Linked DNA regions of Caenorhabditis elegans. The protein of the gene in region 2 interacts with the protein of the main gene of each other region in a pairwise test. Each region holds a gene or a part of one and is shown on either strand. Other genes may lie near its edges.

Region 1 (3,760 bases), on a different chromosome or scaffold from region 2:
TTTTATAGATATTTCAATTGACTTTTCTCTAGACTAGAAATTTCGAGATGTTAAAGATTTTCTTATGGAAAAAATGAGCTTCAACAGGAAATAAAAATCTTACCTGTGAAGCACCCAAATTCTCTCTCAAAAGTCCAATATGTTGCTCATAGATGACAATATCAGCTTCAAGAACTTCAATAAATCTATCCTGTGCTTGAATGGCATCCTTCAATCGGTCAATGTCCTCAAAAATAGCTTTTTTCTGACATTGATTGTAGTTGATAGCGGATTCAGCTTGAAGGAGATCTTCAACCATCAATTCCATCAGCTTTTTAGATTCGTCAACTTCTGAGCTCAAGGATCGTTTGGCTACTTCACTAGCATCTAACTCTGTTGTCAACTTGTGAACTTTTTCTTTCAAATGAGCAACTTGATCACGAAGAAGAGCATTTTGTTCTATTTCCCAATTTCGAGAAGATCGGAGAGTGTCAACTTCTTCTTGAAGACGATCCCTCTGAAAATTGGAAACGTTTCTATACAAAATGATATATTCATCTATTTCACTTACCTCATCTTCATATTTTCCATTGATATCTTCAAGTGTAGTTTCCAACTCCTTGATTCTTGCAGTCGCCGCAACCTTTGCCTTGAGTCCAGCAGTTTTTGCCTCTTTTGTGTATTTGAGAATTTCAGATTCATAGTCTGCTTTCATTTTTTCAACAGATGAGTTTAGTTCGATAACTTGCTGACGGAGTAAAGCATTTTCAGATGAAGCTTCTGTTAAAGCAGACTCGAGAGCGTCTGAAGTTGAAGAAGACATTGAAATGGTGGGATAGCGGGAAACAGATGTAGATGGAAAATTGGAAGATGTTGATGTTCCAATTGAAGAACCATTTGGATTTAAATCAAAAGTTACACGTTTTCTTTGATGTTTCCTATGGATTCCGTCAATATCTGGAAGAGCGCTCAGTTTGCTAGATGGATCAAATGGAGGATCCAATGGTGGAGGAGAGAAGGTTCCCGATGAACTTGAGACCATCGTTTCTGAAAAATAGATCAATTCAATTCCGTTAAACTTTAAAAAAAAGTTTTATATCGTCACAATTTTCAATTTCTAGCCGTGTGCTCAATTTTCGAGCTTATTTTCAAGAAAAAGAGGAGCATACAAATTACTTGGGCAAGCTACCTTTAGATTACTGTAGGTTACAGTTGTCCTAACACGTCTAAGATCAGCAATTTTCCTGTTTGGGAATAATAAAAAAATTCTAAAAATAAAACTGAACGTCATATATATTCAGAAATGGTGCATGACAACTTCATTTTTTTTTAACCAAAAAACTTTACTCACTTCTCTGTGCAATGACATGACCTGGAGATGAACTTCTTGCTCTCCGTTCACTCTTTGAATTTGATAATGGTACTGAGGAATGAGCCATCAAAGAAGGCTCAGTTTCTGTCGACATATCCTTCTTGTCTCTATTCATTTCTTCAAATTTTTGTTGAACAATTCTCATTGCTTGATTTTTGACTGAAGCAACTTCATTGTGCTCACGAACTCTTTCCTAAATACAACTCCAATATGAAACCACAGAAACAGAATAATTCTCACCTGTAAGTCCAAAATTTGCCTTTCTTTATCCAATATCACATTATTTAAATCTATAATTCGGTTATCCTTATACACCAGTTGTTGATGAACCCGTTCATCGATCCGTTTGTCGGCCGATTTTTCTTTTTCTTTGGAGGTTTTGTCCTCCATTTCTGAAAAGTATTATATTTGTATTTAACGTATTTAAAAAGTGACAGTATACTTCAAGGACGTGAAGAAACAATGAGAAGAAAAGAAATTTGAAAATTATAGTTTAAAAAAAGGGATGACGTAAAATTATTCAAAAACTTTTTAAATAATTTGTAAATCCAGAATAAATTTTCTGCGAGAGATTGGAGAGAGAAACAGAGAAACCCCGTTCCACGTAACGGAGAGGCGCTGAACCCACGTGGAAAGCTCACATTTTAATCTCACGCAATAATATGCGTCTCACGTTTTTTTTTCAAAAAGTTTTCCGAACACATCCTTTTTTTTCTAAAATTTTTTAATCTTCCGACACTACTTGAGAAGTCTTATAATGGATGAAAAATCGTTTTTTAAAGTTAATAAACTGATTAGGTATAAGGAGCATGCCAAAAATATATTCACTTTCAGTTTTTTGATAATGTTGCAAATTATTCAAAAGTATAACTCGTAACCTAGTTATCAGAAGTATAACTAACAAAATATTTATTTTTGTATTTAAAGGTTGCTGAAGTAAAATAATTTTCATTTACTGTTTCATTTTTTAACTATAATAATAATATACTCTAGAAATTCCGCTTTTTTTGGTACTAGTGAATATAATTAACTTATTTGAACAAGTATACAAAAGTAAAAATAATTTGCTTCTGAATTAGCTTCTGAATTAGTTTCGGAAATAGTTTCGGAATTCATTTTAATCATTCTCAACAATATCAAAAACCAAAAAAGGTTGCTTCTTTGGCTAGCACTGTGAATTAATACAGCAATTTAAATATAGGTTATATAACTAAATTTGAAACATAAGGAAGAATATATGAAACGACTTAAAACAGTTACAAATCTACGTGCAATTTAATTCCTGAAGAATCAAAAATGAAGTTTTAACACGAAATTCTACAAAAAACTGGTTCGAATTAGTTCCTTTCGAGAGACACGTCGACCAACACGGCACCCGCGTTATTGATTTTCTGCTGACGCACATTCGTTTGCGGTGGCGCATTTCACTTTCGCGGTGACCATTGACATAGTGTATGGGCCAAATAATGGGAGAGCTCGGTGAAATATTAGTGACATTAAATACGGATATTAATTACAAAAAAGAAATCGATGGTAAAAATAACCAAATGACTATTTTGGCATGAAAAAACATGACTTTTCAATTTTTATTTTCTGTTTTGGAACTCTTCATGTAGGCCATTTTAAATCATTAGTTTTCTGTGCGGTGTGTATTCAGAAAAGTTAAAGTAAGCATTGAAAACTGTGAACAAAACGTTATAAGAACACGTCTCATTGTCTGTCAGTACATGAGAGCACGATGTAAAAAAGCAAAGCACACAACTGATATTTTTGTTAAAATAATTTCTGTCTTACTAAAGTTTTTGGGTCAAGATAGATCAAACAGCATCGAGAAGAAAATTTACTAAGTTTGGTAACCCATGAAACACAGTTCTCTTTCTATTTTCAAAAGGCATTTGTGTCTATTAAGCTCATCAGTTCTTCTGAAAAATCAGCATTACTGATAGCATAAATTCTAGGCTTTTCAGGTCATTGTAATAATTCGATAAACCATTCCAAATTTCGAACTAGGAGCATTTTTAAGAATATTGTTTCTTTATACTAAAACTAATAAATATTTTGTACAGAATAATTGTGTATCTATGGAATCGTTATTCTTGCTGCGTAATTACTAGTGACGAAATTTTCTTGTTCTGAATTAGTTATTTTCTCTGAAGTTGAACAAAAAAACACATTAAATTGATGAATAGAGAATATTTTATTGTTGAATTTCTCATAAAATTTAACGGCGAGTTCCGTCCTCGAAGAAGACTCCTCCGTCGATGGCGCAGTACTTTGGACAGATTCCCTTCTCTCCGGCACCTCCGGAAGTTCCAGCTTGTCCTGGGGCTCCTGGGTTTCCGTCGGCTCCTGGGGCTCCTGGGTTTCCATTTGGTCCCTTTGGTCCTGGGGCTCCTGGTTGTCCATCGT
Region 2 (3,760 bases):
AAAAGTACAGTGAACCAAATTATAGGCAATCAAAAAAGTCAAAAACCAAACACTGAAGATCAAAGCAGTAAGTGATGTCCAAACAGTGATATCTTGTAAGGAATTTACTAAATAAAAAACAATTGTAAAAAATTATAAATTATTTTCGAAATTTTGGATTCAAGAAACTAATTTTGTTTCCTTTACTAAAGTTAAAAACGAAAGGAATACTTACCGACATTCTTACAAGTATTTCTGATGGCTGTAACTTCGGCGTGTGCTGTTGGATCCTTGGTGACTAAAACCATGTTATGCCCACTACCGATTACCTTCCCATCCTTGACAATTACAGCTCCAAATGGTCCACCGTCTCCCTTCTCCATTCCTTTCTTGGCTTCTTCGATTGCGAGTTTCATGAATTCCATTTTTCTGAATTTTCAAGAAATGTTTCGATTAACCGAGTTTTTTCACGGATGAAAAATTTATTAGAAACAAAAATAAATAAAAAAATATCAAAACTACAAATGAATGAATATGTTGTAAAAACTATAGTTGCCAAAAACTTTCACTTTAACAAAAATTTGACATCGAGAGAGTACGCCAGAGATGAAGAAAAAGAAGGCGTGGGAAAAGAACAAAAAAGGAAAAGAGCGATCGGAAGCCAGTCAACCAAACAAAAAATGATGATGAACTGAATATTGTGGAGGTGTTTTCGATAGTTGCAGACATGGAAACGTATTAGATTTTAAAAATTTGTGTGTGGCAAGAGGAATTTTGATATCGAAGTTCAATAAATAGAAATTCAGAATTTAATATTTTATTGAAATCACAGGAAATTTAAAAATTGCAGAGACTTTTTTCGATATTTGGGGTACGACCAAAAAAAAAGAACAAAAATTGAAGTAGTTGTCAAACGTTGCCTTCTGTAAACTTTCAAAAACGGTACCTACTGTCTCACTGCGCCTTCAAAAAACGACAGTAATCCATTGCCCGTTTGTTAGTTGTGCTCTTCCTTTTCTCACTATTTGTATCTAAAAAGAAACAGATAAAATTATACGACAGAATATGAATATGACTAAAAATTCAAAGAAAAATTTCAATGGTTTACTGTGGTTGTTAAAGGTGCATACCTTTTTTGCGGCGGCTACGATTTGAAAATGTTCGCGCTGTGAACCAGCCCGAAATTTTTGTAATAAATTGAAATCTTTCGCAACTGGGTAATAACTCAAACTTTTTTAACTACAACTTTATAACCTGCAATTTCACTTTTAAAATGTGCGTCATTCTATGCAAATTTCTGAATTTATAATTCTCTCCGAGTTTATCCATATTAACGTCATTGCAAAATACTATGTACATGTGCCCTCAAAAAATTTTCCAATTTCTCTTTACTGAAAGTACTACGCTTTTTATTTTCTTTGTGTGCACCTTTCAAAAGTCATGCTCAATTTTGTATAGATTCCAACCGCTATTTATCTACGGAAGGAAAAAAAAACCCAACACAGAAAAAAACAAATTGACGTGTCTCTAGCTTCCCTGCGCTTCTCTCTCTCAAATGCTCTTTTATCTATCCCATGTTCGCCATTTACATCGGCTCTAAATAACACCTCTAAGCTTTCTTGAAAGATGAGTAGAATATTCAGAAGCCAAGCTTCGAGATCGATGCGGTTAGAGCAAATTCCCCTCGAATCGGTGAGATAATAAATGTATTGTTTTAAGGGTTGAAAACTGCAAAATTGCATGTTTGCATGGTCTTAACCAATTTTTGATTGACTGATAACGATAATTTCTGATAATTTTGGACTTTAGGTGAGTATTTCTTTTTAGTTCTTCGTTTTTTAAAGAGAAAATAAATACCATAAGATTGACCGGCGTCAGATATTGTGCATGGTACGCAAAGACACCGCGCGGTGTACCTCACTAGTAGGATTTACGCGGGCGTTGGTCTCGGAAAATTATTTTTTAATTGTTCAAACAATTATTTGTTTTTGTTTTTTATAAATAGCATGTTAATCATAAAAATATATATTTTTTAAAAATTAGAATTCATATTTTGTACGCTTATATTAACCGCCACTCGCATCGAAATCAATTTTTCATTAATACAACGTTATTTAATATTTCATGATTTCAGATGTCTCGCCGGAGCACAACTGATCGTTCAGACTTCAACGATAATGCTTCGAATGCTTCTTCAAATGCTTCTCGAAGGCCAACAATAAATTTTCAAGAAATAATGGAAGATCTTCCGCACCACGAAAGAGAAACCGGCGAACGTCTTCGCCGTCATCTCCAATTCTTTTTTATGAATCCAATGGAGAAATGGAAAGTCAGACATCAACTGCCCTATAAGTTGGTTCTACAAGTGCTCAAAATAGTTTTCGTTACCATGCAATTAATTTTATTCGCGGAAATGCGCATGTCTCATGTTGATTTTCTCGAAGACACCACAACAGTTATGAGACATCGATTTTTAAAAGAATGGAATGACGACAGAGATGCATTACAATATCCACCAGCTGAAGGAAGATATTCGGTTTATGATGATCAAGGATTATCCGAGCATTTGAGCTTTTTGATTAATTCTGTAAGTCGCTTTGGAGAACTATCTTGTAAAATGATCAATATTGTTTCAGTATTATTCAATTCGCAATGATTCATTTGCTTCATTTTCCTATGACGTTGTAAGTCATCCATCTGGAAATCTTGGCGCTCAAATTAGTTTTGAATCTATTCCACCTATTGAAGTTCTTATCGATCGAATTTCCAACGTAACAGTGAACAATAACACTTATAATTTCGACATTCGTGAAGTGAAAGGTATATAAACATACTATTATGAAATAAAAATAGTTTATTTCTAGACACGAAACGTCTGAATCTAACAGAAACGGAAGTCTTCCAAATCGGACAATCCGATGATGCTGTTCGAGATATTCTCGCCACTCGTGGAATCACATTTCTCCCAGAAGACGCGCTCAAGATATCGACGGTCCAATTCAAATTTCGACTACGAACAATTCATTATTCACCAACAGCCGGAGATCAGAAACCAGAATGCTATAAGATATCAGTTTCTATCAAATTTGATAATTCAAGGCATACAGGACAGGTTCATGTCACTCTATCAACTGTGGTTTCTTATGTGAATGTTTGTAATGGAAGGATCATCAAAGGTGAACACTTCACTTTTTTCAAATTTTCAAAGTAAAGCTAGTAAAAATTATAGATTATGTAATCGAAAATTACCCAATTAACATAGAATTCCAATAATTAATGGTGAAGAATCATCAAATGGGATGCTATTAAATATAACTTCAAATCTTTTATAAAAGTCTTTCTGAAACTTCGTGTTAAAATCTACATAACTTTATTTGCCTAAAAAAGTTCTTCTTGAGAGTAACATTTAGATTTTAGGTATTCAAAAATTTCCCAATTAACTTGAAATATTTAACTTCTAGGTGTACTTCTGTGTTTAAATAAAAATGAATTTTGTAATATTAAAATATCAAAATATAAAAATTCAATCAATCTCGAGTTAGGTCAAGTTTCAGGTGTTGGATGGTCATTTGACACACTTTTAATCGGCGGAACCGATATTTTCGTTCTCATTCTTTGCATTCTATCACTGATTCTCTGCTGCCGAGCCCTCATCAAAGCCCATCTACTTCAAATCAAAACAAGCGACTATTTTGAGAATGTACTCAAAAATAAGATCACCGTTACCGATCAACTCGATTTTCTGAATTTGTGGTATGTGATGATTGTGGTCAACGATGCG
Region 3 (3,196 bases), on a different chromosome or scaffold from region 2:
ATGAAAATCATGTAGACTACAATGCTCACTTGAGTTGTTACGGGATTTTGGAACTTATACTGAAAATTGATAATTTTGAATAGTTTCGTAGAAAAAGCTTGGCTCAGCATATTGAGCAAGCTTCCAAAAAAAACTTGGATCAGAAAATGGCAAAATTTGAGCGAACCAAATTTTGCTCAACTCTCGCCAAATGTTGGTCCGAAATTGAAAACTGCGCAGCCTTTACCAAAGTCTTGCCTAATTCCTAAGTTTTGCCAATCCTTGAATCAGGTATATAATTGAAAGTGAGTAATTTGTACAAAATTTACGTCTTTTTTTCATTGAATATTGTGGTTTTTCAGTCGTTTCGTCAGCACCTTCAAATTTAATTTGTACCCTGATAATTAAAAAAAAAATCAAAATAAATGATGAAAGATATGCCAAAATTTGAAAAACTTTTCGAAATTTCAAACCACCAGTTAAAAATTTGAGAATTTTTCAAGAGGCCTCAAGATAAAAACGTATTTGGGATATTTTAGTGGAAAACATTTGAACGTAAGCGTTTATTGAGATCGTTCAGAATCAGAGTAAAAATACAACTTTGAGTAATTACATTTAATGAATACAATCAGTAGTTTCTCCACTGAATTGATTTGCCAAATTCAATGTTCCAATATCATAATTTGTAGAAGATCCGGAACCACTGGCAACTGCGTAGTCAGGAATATTAATAGTCAATTTTTTGGAGCAAAGTCCGTTGTAATTGCACTGATGGTAGATGTTTACTTTGGGGTCCAATGTAAAGATTTTTGTGTAGGTTCCAGCAACTCGAAAGGTTCCGTCATTTGCTGATTTTGTTGAATCCAATTTAGAATCCCATACTGTAAATTTTAATTTTGTTTACTTTTAAAATTCAGGAAAAAATAACTTACTGGTTCCATCCTCATACATCTTCACAAGAACATTTCTAGCTGGTTGTCCTTGACACACTAATCTTCCAGTTACAGTAATAGTCTGAGTACTTCCAACAACATTTAAGACAGCATCGGAAAGTTGAGCGAAAACGAGAAACGCGACAAGTAGTGTCAGAGAAATCAATGTCATTTTTAGTGTGATGGTCGATGAAAAATGAGCTTTTGTCTGATCTTTTTATACTTTCGTCATTGTGCCACTGGTAAATAGAAATAATATAAATAAAGTTCGCGAGTAAACATTGAAGACAGTGGCGAGCATACCCAAGAAATGTCAAAAAAGTGAGAACTGTGTGAGGGTGGAAGAAAGAAGCAACAAACATCGGATCACATGTTACTTTGGTCATAGTTTAAATATTTATGAGTCAGTTTTTAAAAGATTTCATAAACATGATATCATCAAAATTTCAATAGGTACGTTTGATCATTGACGCTAACTTCAATACCCGCATGGATAATTTCTTTGGTTCACGAAATCCAATAATTATTTCTCATTTTTTAAATTAAACTTTAACCATTTTTCAATGTTTTCAGAAACTAATGTATATTTTATTCGTACGAATACGTACTGTAAATTACAGTCACTTGAAACCGTAACATCCTGAAGAATGTCATGTGAATCCCTTTTTTTAATTTCCCAAAGAACAAAAAATGTAAATTCACAAACCAGCTTCTTTGAATTAATAAATTGTAGTAGACCTATTGCAAATGTATATAGGGTTGGGTACAATTCTAAATTTGTTGTGGATTTTTGATGGAGAGGAGCATTGTGCTTGAGATAATTTTGATAAAAATTCCTTTTTTTGTTGTTGAATAATTCTAGACAACTGTGTAATTTGTATAATTTTCCAGACATGCTAATGTAACTTTGATGCACATTCTGACAAAAAAGTCTTAATTTCGATAAATTCATTCCTGTAGATTTTAGAACGCGGAGCGTGTTGTTCTATGTGAAATATTTCGCAGACAAATTAATTAAAAATCTTATAGCTTGCTGCAAATTTTTTCTTATTTATTTGTTTCCAGAAAAATTGTTTTGAAAGTATAAATGAAAATTTGAAAAACATTTTAAAATTATTTTAGGGATAATACTATTATTGAATCGGTTAATAATTAAGAATCAACAAAAAGACTAAATCTTTGAATTAGTAGCAAGCTTAAAAGCTGAGCTCTCCTTTCCAGATACCATCACAACGTTTTTCGTGCTTGCGATTTTACAAGAGCACACAAGTTTAAAGTTTGAATGGAAATACACCATTGTTGCTCCGTCGAGCATATATACAGACGAAAAAGAAACAGAAGTAAACACAAAAACCCAAAGAGGATCATCGAAAAGCCCAGATGTGTAATATAAATTTATAATATCTACTGCTTGCAAAAAATCTTGAATGACACTTTGAATGTACATCGTTTGCCACTTTTTCCGTCGCTTGCTTTTTTGAGCTTCACTGACTCCACTCATCTTGAAAATATGGTACTTCATTTAATAGTTTTTTTTTAAATTAAAACTGCCTTACATCATCACAAAACTGCTCACCTTATCTTTCATGAGTTTGGCAAAAATAACCAAGTTGATCAGATTAGATATTAACGCCAATGTTACTATTGATATCACGAAAAATTGATTCATAGCTTCCCCGCACCGATCGTAGTTTTCCGATGAAAAAATAGTAGTCTCTGGATCATAAATTATATAGCAACTGACTGAAATAAATTTCTATTTTGGTTTGAAACACTAGTGAAACATACATATTTTGGGTACAAACACTGGCGAACTTGCAAGCAAAATTGAAATAAAAATACCAAAGTTTGTGAAAAATGGTTTTTTGGAAATTGTTGAAAATGGAAAGTAAATAGCAATGAATCGATTTATAGACATACATATTAAAATAAAAGGCCCAAAATAATAAGTAAATATACCAACAAATTCAGAAACAATCACATTCAATGTTCTCGGAATGTTTTGGATTTTAAATTCCAGCATTGAAAAAGGAACAATCCAAAATGGAAACGATGCGCTCATAACAAAATTGGAAATTGCTTTGCAGAGACATAGTTTTGTAAAATTTGTAACCGCGCTCTTCTTTATTTTCATGAATTTTACAATTAAAATTAAGTTTAAAATCACTCCGATAGAACCGAGCTGGAATTGAAGAAAATCAACGATTACAATATTTAGTTTAGACTTACAAGTAAAGGAATCAAAATATTCAAAAATACCATCAATATTATTTTAGTGTTGTGCA

The links.
Region 1: the proteins of cup-5 (region 2) and T28C6.7 interact in a two-hybrid assay, tested with the Caenorhabditis elegans proteins (one large-scale study listed by BioGRID).
Region 3: the proteins of cup-5 (region 2) and ttr-21 interact in a two-hybrid assay, tested with the Caenorhabditis elegans proteins (one large-scale study listed by BioGRID).

The regions. Positions count from the first base shown.
Region 1 is NC_003282.8:8,825,785-8,829,544, reverse strand, and holds the start of T28C6.7 (Kinesin motor domain-containing protein), read right to left. Parts: upstream 1,742-3,760; coding exon 1,592-1,741; intron 1,545-1,591; coding exon 1,331-1,544; intron 1,027-1,330; coding exon 551-1,026; intron 497-550; coding exon 104-496; intron 1-103. Other genes in the region: col-3 (Nematode cuticle collagen N-terminal domain-containing protein), read right to left, coding at 3,573-3,760.
Region 2 is NC_003281.10:7,582,576-7,586,335, forward strand, and holds the start of cup-5 (Polycystin cation channel PKD1/PKD2 domain-containing protein), read left to right. Parts: upstream 1-2,107; 5' UTR 2,108-2,113; coding exon 2,114-2,566; intron 2,567-2,615; coding exon 2,616-2,799; intron 2,800-2,843; coding exon 2,844-3,155; intron 3,156-3,521; coding exon 3,522-3,760. Other genes in the region: gda-2 (CMP/dCMP-type deaminase domain-containing protein), read right to left, coding at 215-404.
Region 3 is NC_003283.11:13,853,304-13,856,499, forward strand, and holds ttr-21 (Transthyretin-like family protein), read right to left. Parts: upstream 1,103-3,196; 5' UTR 1,084-1,102; coding exon 912-1,083; intron 861-911; coding exon 595-860; 3' UTR 531-594; downstream 1-530. Other genes in the region: srx-134 (G-protein coupled receptors family 1 profile domain-containing protein), read right to left, coding at 2,083-2,412, 2,488-2,654, 2,700-3,093, 3,141-3,173.